Saccharomyces cerevisiae S288C: one gene and its partners. The protein of the gene in region 3 binds, or shares a complex with, the protein of the main gene of each other region. Each region holds a gene or a part of one and is shown on either strand. Other genes may lie near its edges. The genes, in order: MRP10, MRP2, RSM18 and MRPS17.

Evidence for each region.
Region 1: RSM18 (region 3) and MRP10 share a complex: the UniProt entries of both Saccharomyces cerevisiae proteins name them as parts of the mitochondrial small ribosomal subunit.
Region 2: RSM18 (region 3) and MRP2 share a complex: the UniProt entries of both Saccharomyces cerevisiae proteins name them as parts of the mitochondrial small ribosomal subunit.
Region 4: RSM18 (region 3) and MRPS17 share a complex: the UniProt entries of both Saccharomyces cerevisiae proteins name them as parts of the mitochondrial small ribosomal subunit.

Annotation. Positions count from the first base shown.
Region 1 is NC_001136.10:370,374-374,128, reverse strand, and holds MRP10 (mitochondrial 37S ribosomal protein mS37 MRP10), read right to left. Parts: upstream 1,882-3,755; coding exon 1,594-1,881; downstream 1-1,593. Other genes in the region: MTF2 (Mtf2p), read left to right, coding at 1-162; FAD1 (FMN adenylyltransferase), read left to right, coding at 521-1,441; NPC2 (sterol transporter), read right to left, coding at 2,368-2,889; type 2A-related serine/threonine-protein phosphatase SIT4, read right to left, coding at 3,423-3,755. UniProt on the Saccharomyces cerevisiae protein: Component of the mitochondrial ribosome (mitoribosome), a dedicated translation machinery responsible for the synthesis of mitochondrial genome-encoded proteins, including at least some of the essential transmembrane subunits of the mitochondrial respiratory chain.
Region 2 is NC_001148.4:874,689-878,428, forward strand, and holds MRP2 (mitochondrial 37S ribosomal protein uS14m MRP2), read right to left. Parts: upstream 1,942-3,740; coding exon 1,594-1,941; downstream 1-1,593. Other genes in the region: MMS1 (Mms1p), read left to right, coding at 1-238; Rho family GTPase RHO1, read left to right, coding at 680-1,309; MET16 (phosphoadenylyl-sulfate reductase (thioredoxin)), read right to left, coding at 2,159-2,944; mediator complex subunit NUT2, read left to right, coding at 3,388-3,740. UniProt on the Saccharomyces cerevisiae protein: Component of the mitochondrial ribosome (mitoribosome), a dedicated translation machinery responsible for the synthesis of mitochondrial genome-encoded proteins, including at least some of the essential transmembrane subunits of the mitochondrial respiratory chain.
Region 3 is NC_001137.3:253,062-256,765, reverse strand, and holds RSM18 (mitochondrial 37S ribosomal protein bS18m RSM18), read left to right. Parts: upstream 1-2,378; coding exon 2,379-2,795; downstream 2,796-3,704. Other genes in the region: HOM3 (aspartate kinase), read left to right, coding at 1-391; JHD1 ([Histone H3]-lysine-36 demethylase), read right to left, coding at 632-2,110; TPA1 (oxidative DNA demethylase), read right to left, coding at 3,104-3,704. UniProt on the Saccharomyces cerevisiae protein: Component of the mitochondrial ribosome (mitoribosome), a dedicated translation machinery responsible for the synthesis of mitochondrial genome-encoded proteins, including at least some of the essential transmembrane subunits of the mitochondrial respiratory chain.
Region 4 is NC_001145.3:634,970-638,824, reverse strand, and holds MRPS17 (mitochondrial 37S ribosomal protein uS17m MRPS17), read left to right. Parts: upstream 1-1,820; coding exon 1,821-2,534; downstream 2,535-3,855. Other genes in the region: GCV2 (glycine decarboxylase subunit P), read right to left, coding at 1-1,325; YMR187C (uncharacterized protein), read left to right, coding at 2,841-3,855. UniProt on the Saccharomyces cerevisiae protein: Component of the mitochondrial ribosome (mitoribosome), a dedicated translation machinery responsible for the synthesis of mitochondrial genome-encoded proteins, including at least some of the essential transmembrane subunits of the mitochondrial respiratory chain.

The DNA of each region.
Region 1 (3,755 bases), on a different chromosome or scaffold from region 3:
CTTGAAGCAGGAGAACAGCTCAGTGCAGATGAGGAAGTTTCGTCCAGCGCAAATAAAATAGTGAATGTAGGTGTTTTATGGAATAAAGACACGAATAATGACTTACTAATTGTTGAAAATTATCTCAAAAGCCTCAAAAAAAATTTAACTAGAGACAGGTAGAAAATTATTCAAACCTTGTAAATAGTGTTATATATATGTGTTAGACTTAAAAGCGCTAATAAACGTTCCTGCTCGCATTTAACTTCTGTTCCAATTTTCCTATTTTTTAGTTAGCTTGTTCGGCAGATTTCAAATTCATTGAGTCCGAGGAAACAAAAGGATGGGAAGAGCTCAAAATTTGGAGATGGGTTTCATATACAACACGTTGGTTAGCAAGAACCTAAGGATCCGTCTATAGAAAGAACCTCGAAAAATCTTCGAAAGATTTTGTTGACTGAGAGTGGAAAAAACTGATATTACTTTCTCGGTATAGAGGGCAACATTTGCAAAAAGTAATAAACAAATAGGGGAGCACAATATGCAGTTGAGCAAGGCTGCTGAGATGTGTTATGAGATAACAAACTCTTACTTACACATAGACCAGAAATCTCAGATAATAGCAAGTACACAAGAAGCGATACGGTTGACAAGAAAATACTTACTAAGTGAAATTTTTGTACGTTGGAGTCCACTGAATGGGGAAATATCATTCTCGTACAACGGAGGAAAAGATTGCCAGGTATTACTACTGTTATATCTGAGTTGCTTATGGGAATATTTCTTCATTAAGGCTCAAAATTCCCAATTCGATTTCGAGTTTCAAAGCTTCCCCATGCAAAGACTTCCAACTGTTTTCATTGATCAAGAAGAAACTTTCCCTACATTAGAGAATTTTGTACTGGAAACCTCAGAGCGATATTGCCTTTCCTTATACGAATCACAAAGGCAATCTGGTGCATCGGTCAATATGGCAGACGCATTTAGAGATTTTATAAAGATATACCCTGAGACCGAAGCTATAGTGATAGGTATTAGACACACAGACCCATTTGGTGAAGCATTAAAGCCTATTCAAAGAACAGATTCTAACTGGCCTGATTTTATGAGGTTGCAACCTCTCTTACACTGGGACTTAACCAATATATGGAGTTTCTTACTGTATTCTAATGAGCCAATTTGTGGACTATATGGTAAAGGTTTCACATCAATCGGCGGAATTAACAACTCATTGCCTAACCCACACTTGAGAAAGGACTCCAATAATCCAGCCTTGCATTTTGAATGGGAAATCATTCATGCATTTGGCAAGGACGCAGAAGGCGAACGTAGTTCCGCTATAAACACGTCACCTATTTCCGTGGTGGATAAGGAAAGATTCAGCAAATACCATGACAATTACTATCCTGGCTGGTATTTGGTTGATGACACTTTAGAGAGAGCAGGCAGGATCAAGAATTAAGTACGGTTTAACGGAGGAAAGAAAATAAAATGCTGATGTTACTATTAGATTAAAAGTTTATATATTTTCCGTTGAGACTATTTAATTTGTATATACAAGGCCATGACTTTAATATTATCAAGTTTTCATTCTTGCTGCTTTTGGATATAAAATTAATCATGGGGTTTACCGTTGATCCTATCATACAGCCTAGCGGCGTGATAGTTAATATTGCTCTTTTGAACGTTGTTTCTTTTGCCGAGGGCACTTTCACTAGTGCAACTTTTCAATTCCGTTACTAAGCCAGCACATTTAGGGCTCATATGACCATATGAAGACCAGCATTGTAATAAGTTTGACATTAAAACAAGACATTTGTTCGCTTCTTGCCTAATGATAGGTTTCTTCACTTTTAGTCTGGGAAGAGGGGGTAATCTATAAACTGGTGGTTTTCCGGACATTAATGGGCACTCTTTATTTTAGATGGAAGTTTCGGCGAGCCCTCGTGTTGCTATGGTAAGACTTTTGTCTCACTTAAAGCCTCAAAGCTTTTATATTCTGCCTAAAATACTGGGAAAAGAATTAATATGTAAAGTCCGCATTACCCGGAGAACGAACCTGTCATCATATATAATAACCAAAGATGTGCGTAAGGGAGAAATTTTGCAATGAGATATCAATGTAATGACATGTTTTTAATACGTACACACTAAATAGATGATTTTTAATTAGAGGAAAGGAATGGAAAAGAAGTAGGTGTTGACAAAGGCGCTGAAGCATTGGCCGACAAAAAAATATTAAGAGTAACCACATTCGACTAGATGGTGGTTATAACAAAAAGAGGAAAAACCCTGCCTCGAACGGGTGAAGAGAACATGGGGTAAAAGAAAAGAATACATGGAACGAGAAGGGAAATAAACACGGATCAATGAGTTGTATGAATCAGATCACCTTGGTGGGAAGATGACTTCTCCGGTTAAGCAAGTGATCAGATCATCCTTTTCAGTGTAAGCTCTTGCTACAACAACATATTTGCCAGGTGGAACCTCGCCTGGGATCTCAACTATTTTCTTAATGTTGTATTCACCCGGTTCAATTGGACAGGATAAGCCTTCGATATCGTTATCTTCTAATGTTTCACACAAATCAAAAGTCTGGGATAACAGTCTGATGTATCCTAGACGGACTTCAACGTCGATATATGCCCCCTCTTCTATAGTTTCAAAGACCTCACCGTTAGCAGAAATAGTCAAATTTTCGCCACGAACAGGAGGGTTAGGGTCCAAATTGACCTCTTTGATTTCCACAAGTTGCTTGTCTAGAATGTCACATTGGTAAAGTGGAGATTCGCCGTTAATTGGTTTGGTGTTTGGTGGGGGAAGGGCGTTGAATATGCCAATCACACCCGCATTGACAGCAGCTGTGTAAAGAAATAGCAAGGCGAATAGAGCTTTCAAGCTGTGGGTCATTTTGGAAGGCGTGCTAGCTTTGAAGGAGAAGATTTAATATGGTTATGCTTTTCTGCCTTGGCGAATCAGCTCTTTAAGTAGCGCCAGTCTTTTATATTTCCCCTCCCGAGTGTTGATTAAAGTTTTTTTATTATCAGGGATTCCACCCTCTTTCAATAGATCCAAACCGTGGGAGGTGACGTTTCGGCACGATGAACGTAATAATTATTGTGATAATAATATAATGTAATATAACATAGTAGTATTATATATATATATATATATATATATAAATAGGAAAGAAAGGACAAGGACAAAAAGGAAAAGAAAACTGCAATTGTTGAATATGTAGTTACTAGTTCTCATTCCTTCTTTTTTTTTTTAATTTTTTATTTGGTCATTTTGACCATAGTAAATGGAATGCTCTTAGAATGTGCTTGTTGTGTATCGTATCGTAGCAAATGGCGTAATGAAAAAGTTTCTGATTTTTGTAGTCTTTTTTTTATTGTGAAAATTATTTTTATTCGTCGAGTTAGGGAGGGCATGCCGTCGTGTTATAAGAAATAGCCGGCTCTTTGATTATTATGGTTTGCCGTGGATTCTCTTATGTAGTCATCGGGAACAGCCGAGAAAATTTTGAAAGTAGGTTCCAGATCCTCATCGACCTTCATTACACTCGCGACATTACCACATCTATAACAGTAATTTGGCGCGGACCACACGGTTACAACGTCCTTTTCAGGAAAATGGTACTTGAACCCCTCCATAACCAGTTGGTGAGCCCGGGCAATAAGGTTCAGTCCATTAACGTGGTTAAACTCTCTAGCAACTTTACTGCCAAAGAGCCATCCTGCACCACGAGGGGAAACTTGCCAAGCCTCTACATT
Region 2 (3,740 bases), on a different chromosome or scaffold from region 3:
AGCATTGGACAAGCCTATTCAAGATATTAGTTACGATCCCGCAGTACAAACTTTATATGTGCTAATGGCAGATCAAACAATTCACAAATTCGGCAAGGACAGGTTGCCTTGCCAGGACGAATACGAACCAAGATGGAATTCTGGCTATTTGGTTTCAAGAAGGTCAATAGTTAAATCTGACCTCATCTGTGAGGTTGGGTTATGGAACCTTAGCGATAACTGCAAGAACACAGTATAATTCCCTCATTTCCAATAACATTGTCGCTGATAAAATCGTGATTCTCGATCAATGTGCTACGCGTCGTGCAGCGTGACAAGGGGCTAAAAAAAGATACAAGAATTCTTGTTGTTTCCAATTTGCTTCGCCTCAGAAAAAAAAATAAACAGATTATACAATTTTTGTTTGATTTGTATTGGGTACTACATGTTTTAGTAGTTGATACAAATACTTCTTTATCCTAATCGTATATATTTATTTTACCAGCAGGAATTCGTCTTTAATATCGTTTCGACCATCGATCATTCCTCTGAGTATTGCAAAAACATTTTTGGAACAACCCAAACTTAAAGTTACAAAACTCAAAAAAGGAACAAAATTAATAAAACAAAAGAATCGCTGTTAGAGGTTTATTGTTGCACTAATAGAAAATCATAGAACTTTAAAAATTATACTAGAAAGATGTCACAACAAGTTGGTAACAGTATCAGAAGAAAGCTGGTAATCGTTGGTGATGGTGCCTGTGGTAAGACATGTTTATTAATCGTCTTTTCCAAGGGCCAATTTCCAGAAGTCTACGTACCAACTGTCTTTGAAAACTATGTAGCAGATGTTGAAGTTGATGGGCGTCGTGTAGAGCTAGCGCTATGGGATACCGCTGGTCAAGAAGATTATGATAGACTAAGACCATTGTCATACCCAGACTCCAATGTCGTATTAATTTGTTTCTCTATCGATCTTCCAGATTCTTTAGAGAATGTACAAGAAAAATGGATTGCCGAAGTATTACATTTCTGTCAAGGTGTGCCAATTATTCTTGTTGGTTGTAAAGTGGATTTGAGAAACGACCCACAAACCATTGAACAATTAAGACAAGAAGGTCAACAACCCGTTACATCACAGGAGGGACAATCTGTAGCAGACCAGATTGGCGCAACCGGATACTACGAATGTTCGGCCAAGACTGGTTATGGTGTCAGAGAAGTGTTTGAGGCCGCCACTAGAGCTTCATTGATGGGTAAATCTAAAACGAATGGTAAAGCTAAGAAGAACACTACTGAAAAGAAGAAGAAGAAGTGTGTCTTGTTATAGGAGTGTCTCGATCTCTCAGTCGTTAACTTAGTGGCAGATACTGCCCTTTTTCAATCCCATTCCTTTTCTCATTGTATGTACGTATGCCTTTTTTTGTTATTTTAGCTCTAACTATAGCTACTTGTTTTTCTCCCAGTATGTGTATAATCTTATTCTTCTCTACATATAAGTGTATTGCTCAGTAAGTATTATCATCTATTAAAGAAGAATAAAAATTATCATGTATTTATTTACAAGTGCGTATCCTATATATATATATATATATACTTTCGCGATAAAATTTTTTACCAAATACCCTTCTTAACACCTGGCAAATTACCCTTCAGAGCGTTTTCTCTAAATTGATACCTACACAACCTAAAATCACTTAGAACAAATCTTGCATGTCCAGAGTCCACGCACCTATTTTTGATCTGCGTAGATCTCATGTAGTTTGGCAATGCATTTAGTTTTAACTGAGCCTCCAACCTCAGTTTTGTTGGAAGGTTCATATTTCTAGCGATGAATTTCAAAGATTTAACAAGGATTTCATTCTCTTTAAATTGTTGTCTTTTGAAGTTATCCCTAAGTATGCGAGCATTGATAAACCCTGGTGGTAGCTTGGTTTTTATAGGAAATCTGAAATTACCCATCGGTTAATGTATATATTTGTCAGTTTACCTTTTCTTTCGTTTTTCCTTTCAATCCTCTTTATCGCAGTTTGGTTCTTAGTTTGAATATTCCTCTGTTTTCGCTCTTTTCTCGTACAGCGCGAATTCTCCGCCAGCTTTAGAAAGTTGTAATCATTGGTGTTATTAAGGAATAAATAATTAGTCACATACATATGGTTATATATCGTACTCTATCTATCTAGGCATCTTGCTTTAAAAATTGCGCGAATCGGCTGGCTTCATGAATTCCACACTCGGTCTTGGCCTTGCCCTTCCATCTTCCTGCTCTCTCATCTTCACCTTCCTTGACGGGTTGTGTGGAATGGTAATCACCAATGGATCTATATCCAAGGTCCAAAAGTTCGTTGTATGGTACATTGTTTGCATCTATATACTGTTTAACCTGCTCGAACGTCCAATTGATCAATGGATTTATTTTTAAGATTCCATTAAGTTCGTCTATTTCAATAATCGACAGTTGGGAGCGGGCAGAACCTTGTGATTTTCTTCTACCAGTAAACACAGCACTTATATGTAGCTCTTTGTAGGCACGATGTGCAGGTTCCACTTTGGCCAGATAATCGTACTTGTCATCATCTTTCTCCCATAAGAAATCCCCGTATTTCGAGGCAAAATCTGCCTCCGATTCACATCCATCCGGCTTATATACGTGAATGGTTTGATTTTTAGGCTGGTAGTATTTTTTCTCAATCTCGTTTTTTAGTGTTAAAGTTTGTGGGAAATGGTGCAAAGTGTCTATAAATAATAGTTCTGGCATGTAGTATTTTTCAGATAGCTTTGACAACATATCGATAGTAACCAAGCCAGTCAAACCAAATGCAGTGGTTTGGAAAAGGTGAGGAAACGTTACGATAGACCATGCAATAATCTCCTGTGGCGTTTCCAGCTTGATTAGTTGTTCATTCCAATGATCCAACTGTTCTTGTGTGACAATTATATCATTATTCAAATGATAGGTCTTCATTTTATGAGTTGCTATGGGTTGATACCTTTGCTGGCCTTAGTTTTGATCTTAAAGCATTGAAAAGGTTACAAACAGTACAGTATACTTTTTTTATATCAATATAATACTATCTCTATGAGCTTTTACTTTGTCGAGATTTGCTGAGTCATGTTGTGGCTTTTCTTTTACTAGCCACGTGAAATGATGATAAAAATAAAAAGAATAACGACGGAATAAAGAACAGTATGATAAACCGTAAAGATATTTAGAATCAATAGGTGATGTCCACCCGGTAACAAGATGCCATTCATGTTAAACTAGGACAAATTTCCTTCTTGTCCCCCCACCATTCTCTTTTATCCAATTCTTTTGTCAGCGCGCATTAAAGAACAAGAACTTCGTACTTTTAACTACTAACTCCTGTTTGAGAAAGAGGCAAATATATAGAAAAATAAACCGATAAGATGAATGGAAACAGCACTAACAATGAACAATTGCAGCAAGAACTGGCCACTACTCAAGACCAAGTGGCTTCGATTATTGAGTCCTTCGTTGAATTAGGTGTCTCGATATATGATTTTCCTGGTACTCCAGAAGCCACCAAGGGAATGATCACCAACTTGCAAAGAAATGTGGATCGCTTGTACAAGCTGAACGTGAGAAGCAACGATCCTCAATCCAGCTTGTCTAAGGTGGACATTCCCTTGGAAGTTGTTCAATACATTGAGGACGGTAGAAATCCAGATATTTACACAAGAGAGTTCGTGGAAGCCATAAGAAGATCCAACCAATATCAAAGAGGCAAGATGCATGGATT
Region 3 (3,704 bases):
TTCTGAAGTTCATGTTTCGATGGCTTTGCCCATTCCAGATGCAGACTCATTAAAATCTCTGAGACAAGCTGAGGAAAAATTGAGAATTTTAGGTTCTGTTGATATCACAAAGAAGTTGTCTATTGTTTCATTAGTTGGTAAACATATGAAACAATACATCGGCATTGCTGGTACCATGTTTACTACTCTTGCTGAAGAAGGCATCAACATTGAAATGATTTCTCAAGGGGCAAATGAAATAAACATATCCTGCGTTATCAATGAATCTGACTCCATAAAAGCGCTACAATGTATTCATGCCAAGTTACTAAGTGAGCGGACAAATACTTCAAACCAATTTGAACATGCCATTGATGAACGTTTAGAACAATTGAAAAGACTTGGAATTTAAATCCACCTTTCTTCTTCACTTTAATGATAGAATATTAATTTTCCCTTTATATATATATATATATATATATACGCGCACATATATTTACATATATATTAATGTTTTGTAACCTATATTGGGGCGATTATTCCCTAAATGTAATGTCAGGGTTATACTGTATCAATTGCTAAAGTAGATCTCATTCATCGAGAGCATAGGATGAAATAAAAGATACAAGAACGTGGCGGACAAGAAGAAATTTTACGAAATAAGATCGGCTAAAGCTTTCGCTAAATGCTTCTTTGAAGTGAAATTTAACGGCTTGTACTTAACTTCAGGTTTTATAACGTATGCATGAAGTGATTGAATTGCGCAATTAGTGGTCCTGGAAAGCAAATCCCCATCACTGACATCACTAGTGATTTTATTTTTATCAAGCGCAAGATACTCGCATAATTTACCCATCACTTGATCAAACTTCGGGAAGGTAAATCTTCTAGGAACCTTTGTTAACTTTTCAATTTCCACAATTTTAAGGTGTGTCTCCAAATCACGGATGGTTAAAAAGTTGCCTCCAAATACCAAAGAGTCTACTGGTGTATAAACTGCATGAATATATCCAGCTGGAATCATAAACAAATCACCAGCATCTAATTCCATCGCAATACCATCCTCAAGAATATCACCGAGGAAAACACTATTTTGGTCTTCTTTTAAAGACCACTCAATATACTTATCTATGTTTGATTGGGTAGGTGGAAATAATAAAAACTTCTTCTGTCCTGAGATAACGTTATAATAAACAGAGGTACCGGCAAAATCCAAATGAAAATCCGTATAAGCATCCTTTACAGACATCAAAATATATTTGGTCACTTTTGGCTTGGGGTCATTCTCCTCCGCCTTCTCCCCATTGACTTTTTCTAAATGTCCATTGAAACTCCAAATTTTATCAACAAGATCATTCTGCCTAACTGCAGTGGGCCTCTCTAGTTCTAATCCCTCAATATTAGAGACTTCTAATGATATAACATTCCTTATTCGATCCCTCCTGTCTGGTTCAGTATTTGTAAAATATTCATTCCAAGATCCCAAGTTCCAATTTTCATTCATTTGTGATTGAACGTCCATTACATCAACATGATAATCCTCGCCTATCATTTCGGTGATATAATTAACTGTGAGGCATCCATTGTCTGTGCCCACATTCGGTACATATACTCCGCTATTCAGTGGATCGATGATCTTGTACGGCACATCTATATTATCAAACTTTTCAGCAAAGTCAGCGGCGTTTATAATATTTGAGCCATTTTTCCATTTTTCAAAAGATTTCATGAAACTCTCCTTATGAGGGTGATTCATTTTATCCCTTTTCGATTCACCCTCATTCAAAGCGATATAGTCAAGTAATTTCTTCTTTCTGAAATTATACCGCTTATTTATATGACTATCTTCAGGGTTTTCTTTATTCCTTTGCCGCTTTCCTTTTTGTGTGATGAGAGCGTATGCGGTAAGATATTCTCCTTCCTTATGATTAGGACAACGGTAGCTCTTGATTTGCTTCGCAGAATTTGGATAAGACAGAACTTCAGAACTTGTAAGATTTGAATAGTGAATGCGTTTCAAAGGCACGCATTTCACGTGGACCCACTGCGGGCAACTATCACACTTCACCCAAATTAATGCGCCTGGATTATCCTTCAACTGGCAATGCTGGCAAATATTGGGATCTTGCATTGCACCATAGCTTATTAGTATTTTGTTTTATGATCATTACGTCTTCTTACTCATTATAATCACCCACTTCTATTAGATGTTCTATTATGCCTTTAAATTGCATTGTAGGGTAACCTGTTGGGGGAAAAAATATCTAGGATTACTTTACATACTTAAATATGAGTCCATTATTAACAGTGTTACAGTTCTAACCAAAAAGGCAAGGTTCTACACAAAACTTCGGATGTTCAAGATGAATGCCACCACAGGCATAAAAATTCAAAACGGTATGCAACCTATCATCAAGGGAGCAGTAAGCTCCACATTTAAACGTGCTCTATACAATTTCGGTATCAAAGAAAAGAAGAGTGTCAATATTGAAATGGGGAGAACGCAACAAACAAAGAAAATCGATCAGTCTTTGTCCAAAAAACTTCCCAAAGGTACTATCTACGATCCATTTGACTTCTCTATGGGACGAATCCATTTAGATAGAAAATATCAGGCAAACAAGAACTCAAACAGGAACGATATAATGAAGTCCGGTGCAAATCCACTAGAATTTTATGCAAGACCAAGAATACTTTCAAGATATGTGACCTCCACGGGAAGAATCCAACATAGGGATATCACAGGCTTATCGGCAAAGAATCAAAGAAGACTATCGAAAGCCATTAGACGGTGCCAGGCAATAGGATTAATGTGAACTGTACTACACTAATGCTTCTCCACATGAAATAATTAAGAAAATAAGGCATTTCATAGTTCTGTCTGTAAATATACAATATGTAAAAAGAATCGCAATTAGATCTTAAGTTAAACTTATATTCATTCTTATATTTCTTTAATATACCCGTTTTATTCGCTTACTCGAATTTGGATTATGGTAATGATATTCACGCCAGAGGAATAAGCTGAAATTGACGAATAACTTTTCAAATAATTTTATTACTTCTATTATACAACTTTATAAATATCTAAGCTGCCATTTACTTAATAAGACGGGTTAATTGTTTACGCTTCATCTTCCTGACCATCTTCATCACATGATTTGACATCCCACTTCATTTTGACATCCCATCTACTAGATTTAGCGCTCCAGCTGACGTACTTAACAAACTCCAAAACACTTTCATCTCTCAAGACCAAATTGAAAGTATTCCAAGCAGGTGGATCATTAATCAATACTGAATCACCACTGTCATCCGCACGATAAACAGAAGCGTCTTCAACGTCTTCCTTTAAGTATTGCTTATTATCTTCGTCGTCGTCCATCATGTACAATTCGTAACCACCAAGCTCTCCGGATTCCCAACCGGCAGAAGGTGTCAAGCACAAAGTACCTTCCAAGACAGCATCGATTATATCTGGATTGCTTTTCAAAAGTTCATTAAAGCGACATTTGGTGGCCAATGTGAAATCCATTCCTGGCCTAAACCTTCTAATAAGGATTTGCTCACTGACTGGGCACAAAGAAGTTAGAAGAGCTAGGTATTTCTTGAAAATTGTGCTCTTGTGAAATACAGCTAGGTCAATCAACGCTAATTCTGCATCAAAATTGTTTTCCCTACTATTTCCGGAAGCATCGGAGATAATTTTAATTGCGTCCTTAGTA
Region 4 (3,855 bases), on a different chromosome or scaffold from region 3:
TTTTCGATGGCATTTGCCAATATTGATGTTAAGCTAAATATCCTCCTGGAAATATTCTGTAGGCCCTTAGGACCGTGATAAACACAGTAGCTCGAAGCAACATTAGCCAGTAAAGCTTGAGCGGTACATATATTTGAAGTTGCCTTATCACGCTTGATATGTTGTTCTCTTGTTTGGAGGGCCAACCGCAAGGCCGTCTTGCCTAAGCGGTCTTTAGAGATACCGACAATTCTACCTGGAATTTTTCTGTTTAATTTATCAATAACAGCGAAAAAAGCAGCATGAGGACCACCATAACCCATTGGGACACCAAATCGTTGAGAGGAACCCAGGACGATATCAGCACCGTAATGAGCAGGTGGTTTTAGAAGTGTCAAAGCCATTAAATCTGAGGCCACAGAGAGCAAAGACTTGTGAGAGTGTAACGCATCAGATAACTGTTTCATCGAGTCAGGCGGTAAGATTGAACCATCTGTCGCTGGATATTGAACCAAACAACCAGATACGTCGGGGTTCTTTAAAACATCCACAGCTTTCTTGATATCCGAACAGTCAACTTCAATAATTTCAATATTGAACGGCTTGGCTCTGGTGTGAAGGACACTCTTTGTTTGCTGGTGTAATTTTTTATCTATTACGTATTTTAGTTTCTTTTTTCTGGAAATATTGAATGACAAGAGCATAGCTTCTCCAGCCGCTGTACCCTCATCCAACAATGAGGCGTTCGCCACAGGCAAACCAGTCAAATCTGAAACAACCGTTTGAAAGTTTAATAGCGCTTCTAGCCTACCTTGAGAAATTTCGGGTTGATAGGGCGTATAAGAAGTATACCATTCTGGACTTTCTAGCAGGTTTCTTTGTATAACCGGTGGTAAAATCGTACCGTAGTAACCCTTACCTATGAAATTTTTAACTTTATAGTGGTTCTTATTGGCAATCTTTTCTAGATGTTGAAGCATTTCTTGTTCACAGAATCCCTTACTAGGAGCTTCTAGTTTCAAGGGTCTTCTCTTCAAAATATTGGGAGGAACGAGCTCTTCTATAAATGCGTTTAAATCGCTATAACCCATTGTTTTTAACATTTTCTTAACGTCGCTAGGAGAAGGACCTAAATGACGTCTAGCAAAAGTATCTAGCGGTCTATCAATGTTTTTCAAGTCAGGATTGAAAATCCTGCTGTACTGTGTAGACGTTATGTCTGTAGCGGCTGTTTTGAGCAAAATAGATTGAGAATGGAATGATCTAGTCCTCGCTAATGAAACATAATTGGTGCTTGACCTGACAGTAGCCCTACAAAGGAGAGCAGTCACTCTTGTCCTAAGCATGTTATCTTCCTGGTATTAGGAAACGTTTTTCCAATAAACTGTGGTTAGTTGATGGTTAGATCGCGCAGCAATCAATACAGTAAGATTGGTACACACGAGAAAGACTAATTCACTGGAACTTGAAGAGAAGAAAATTGTGCCACTCGAGCCTGCTATATATACATCCATTTATATTCGTTGGAGATCTTTCGACTAGCTTATCAAGGTCCTTCACAGCTCAATGCTGACTTCGATGACTCCTCTGAGAGTCATGACTCCGAAAAGGAGGAGTCTATACCTCAAGAAGAGTCAGAGATGTCGGGTAACGATTCAACCGGGTAACATGATTGTTATTTCATAAGATTAGAATTCTGAAGCAATTTGGGATTGTGCCAAACCAATGCGAGCATCAAACTGTTAGAGGAAATCCACAAATAAGGCCAAACAGAAGTAAACTCAGGGAGTTGAATTCGGGTTAGAGATTTCAAAAGTCAAATCAAGATCAGTTAAACTGTAATGGCTCGCCAAAATTTTTTAGGCTTGGTCGTCTCCCAAGGGAAGATGCAAAAGACGGTTAAAGTACGTGTAGAAACAAAAGTCTTTAATAAGAAAATCAACAAGGAGTTATTTCATAGAAGAGATTATTTAGTGCATGATGAAGGTGAAATATCAAGGGAGGGTGATTTAGTAAGGATAGAAGCGACGAGGCCGCTTTCAAAGAGGAAGTTTTTTGCCATTGCAGAAATTATTAGAAACAAGGGTCAACAATTTGCATTATACGAATCAGAAGCTCAGTTAAGCGTTGCAAAAGAAGAAGCCCAAAAGGCAAAAGAATTTTTGGATAAAAGATCAGTGAGGGAGAATAAACTAAATGAAAAAACAACCCTTTTACGTGATATTAGGACCATCCAAGATGCTTTATCTAGCGGGTCAACGCCGAAAGAGTTATTGGAGATTAAACAAAGGTACGGCATTCAAGATTTTTCACAAGAAACAGTGAGGCAACTTTTACAGTTAGACATCTCTGGATTGGAGGTTAATTTGGAGAAACAAAGAAGTCTCATTGATCGTATTCAAACGCGATTATCCGAATTGTTGTCGAATGATCTAAAATGTGATCAATTTTTGAAGGATCATGGTGTTGAGGATCCTTTGACCTTGAAAAAAAACATCAAAAAAAATTTGTTAAGAAAGCACGTCATGATGGATATGCAACAACCAAGCCAGTAAATAAAAGAAAGAGGAAAGCCGAGTGTCATATTTTCTCAACTAAAGCACTACACTCTGTAAATATATACAACTACAAGACTTCGTTACGTAAATAGTAAAGTGTTATGTTTTGACTTTAAAATATTCTAGTGAAAAGAACGATGTTTTTGATTTTCTATCGTTTAACGCATTTATATATTTTCAGGCAAGTGATATCGAAGATGTGAGTACATCGCTCGTCCCCATCGTCAAAAACAAAAGTAAATAAAAGAGCTCTGCTCTGATTTTACAAACAAGAAAATTCCAAGGAAATAGTCCAAGTTTTATATGACCCCACCTCATTTTTTTTTATCTCTCATAAAAAAAAGATGCATATGCTGGATATGTTTGGAAGAATCCACATATGACTCTACATGGCTACAGCACACGTGCGGTTGCAACTTACAAATTCATAAACGCTGCTATATAAGATGGCTCTATCAAATGCATGTTGAACTTTTTCTTCCGAACACAGTGGACCTACCAAAGGATGCTGATTTACCTATAATCACCTGTTTAAAATGTCTCGTTGATGGGCACCATGATTTTATGACGACTTTCTCTCTTACAGAAATATGGGAAACTCGTCCCATTTGGGGGCAAAAATCAGTACCGTTTCAAAATGACTACGTGTTCAATCTAATGTCTCTTTATACCAAACGGGATAATCATCCACCTTATGTGTTAGTGAAATTTGGCGAATGTCCTCAATGCAAGAAAACAAATTTCATAAAAAGACCTACAGTAACCATCCAGTCTTCTGTACTATCCCTGTTTTATCAGTGGCAAAAAATTACACGATACGTGATACCATTAGGGATAACTAGTTTATTTCTTTTAAACCCTGAAAAGACAAGTTTTGACATTGGATTATGGCAACTACGCTGCCTTTTCCCTGAGAATGTTCTACGAAATATGTTAAACATCAGCACTACAAAGGCATTGGACGTATATGCGCAAACTGAACGTGGCTTATTAAGCATTCCTTTAACCTCCTCGATCATAATATATGGGTTCATACATTATCTTAGCAACATTTCTAACGTCAGTGCTAATGCAATACTCTTTAAGTGGGTGTATCTCAGTATTGTAAAAACTGCTGGAAACAAATATTACAAGGGTATAGGTTTACCTAAAATAATTTTGTATTCTAACTTGGCTACATTTTGCTATAATTTTACCTTTAAAAGATTGGTTGACTTAATTTACAGGAGGCTGATCAATAAAGGAGGTAAGTATTTGTATCACGGAAATTTTGAAAACTCTAGTAATAGCGTTCCAGCTGAGGAATTTTTTATCAGGC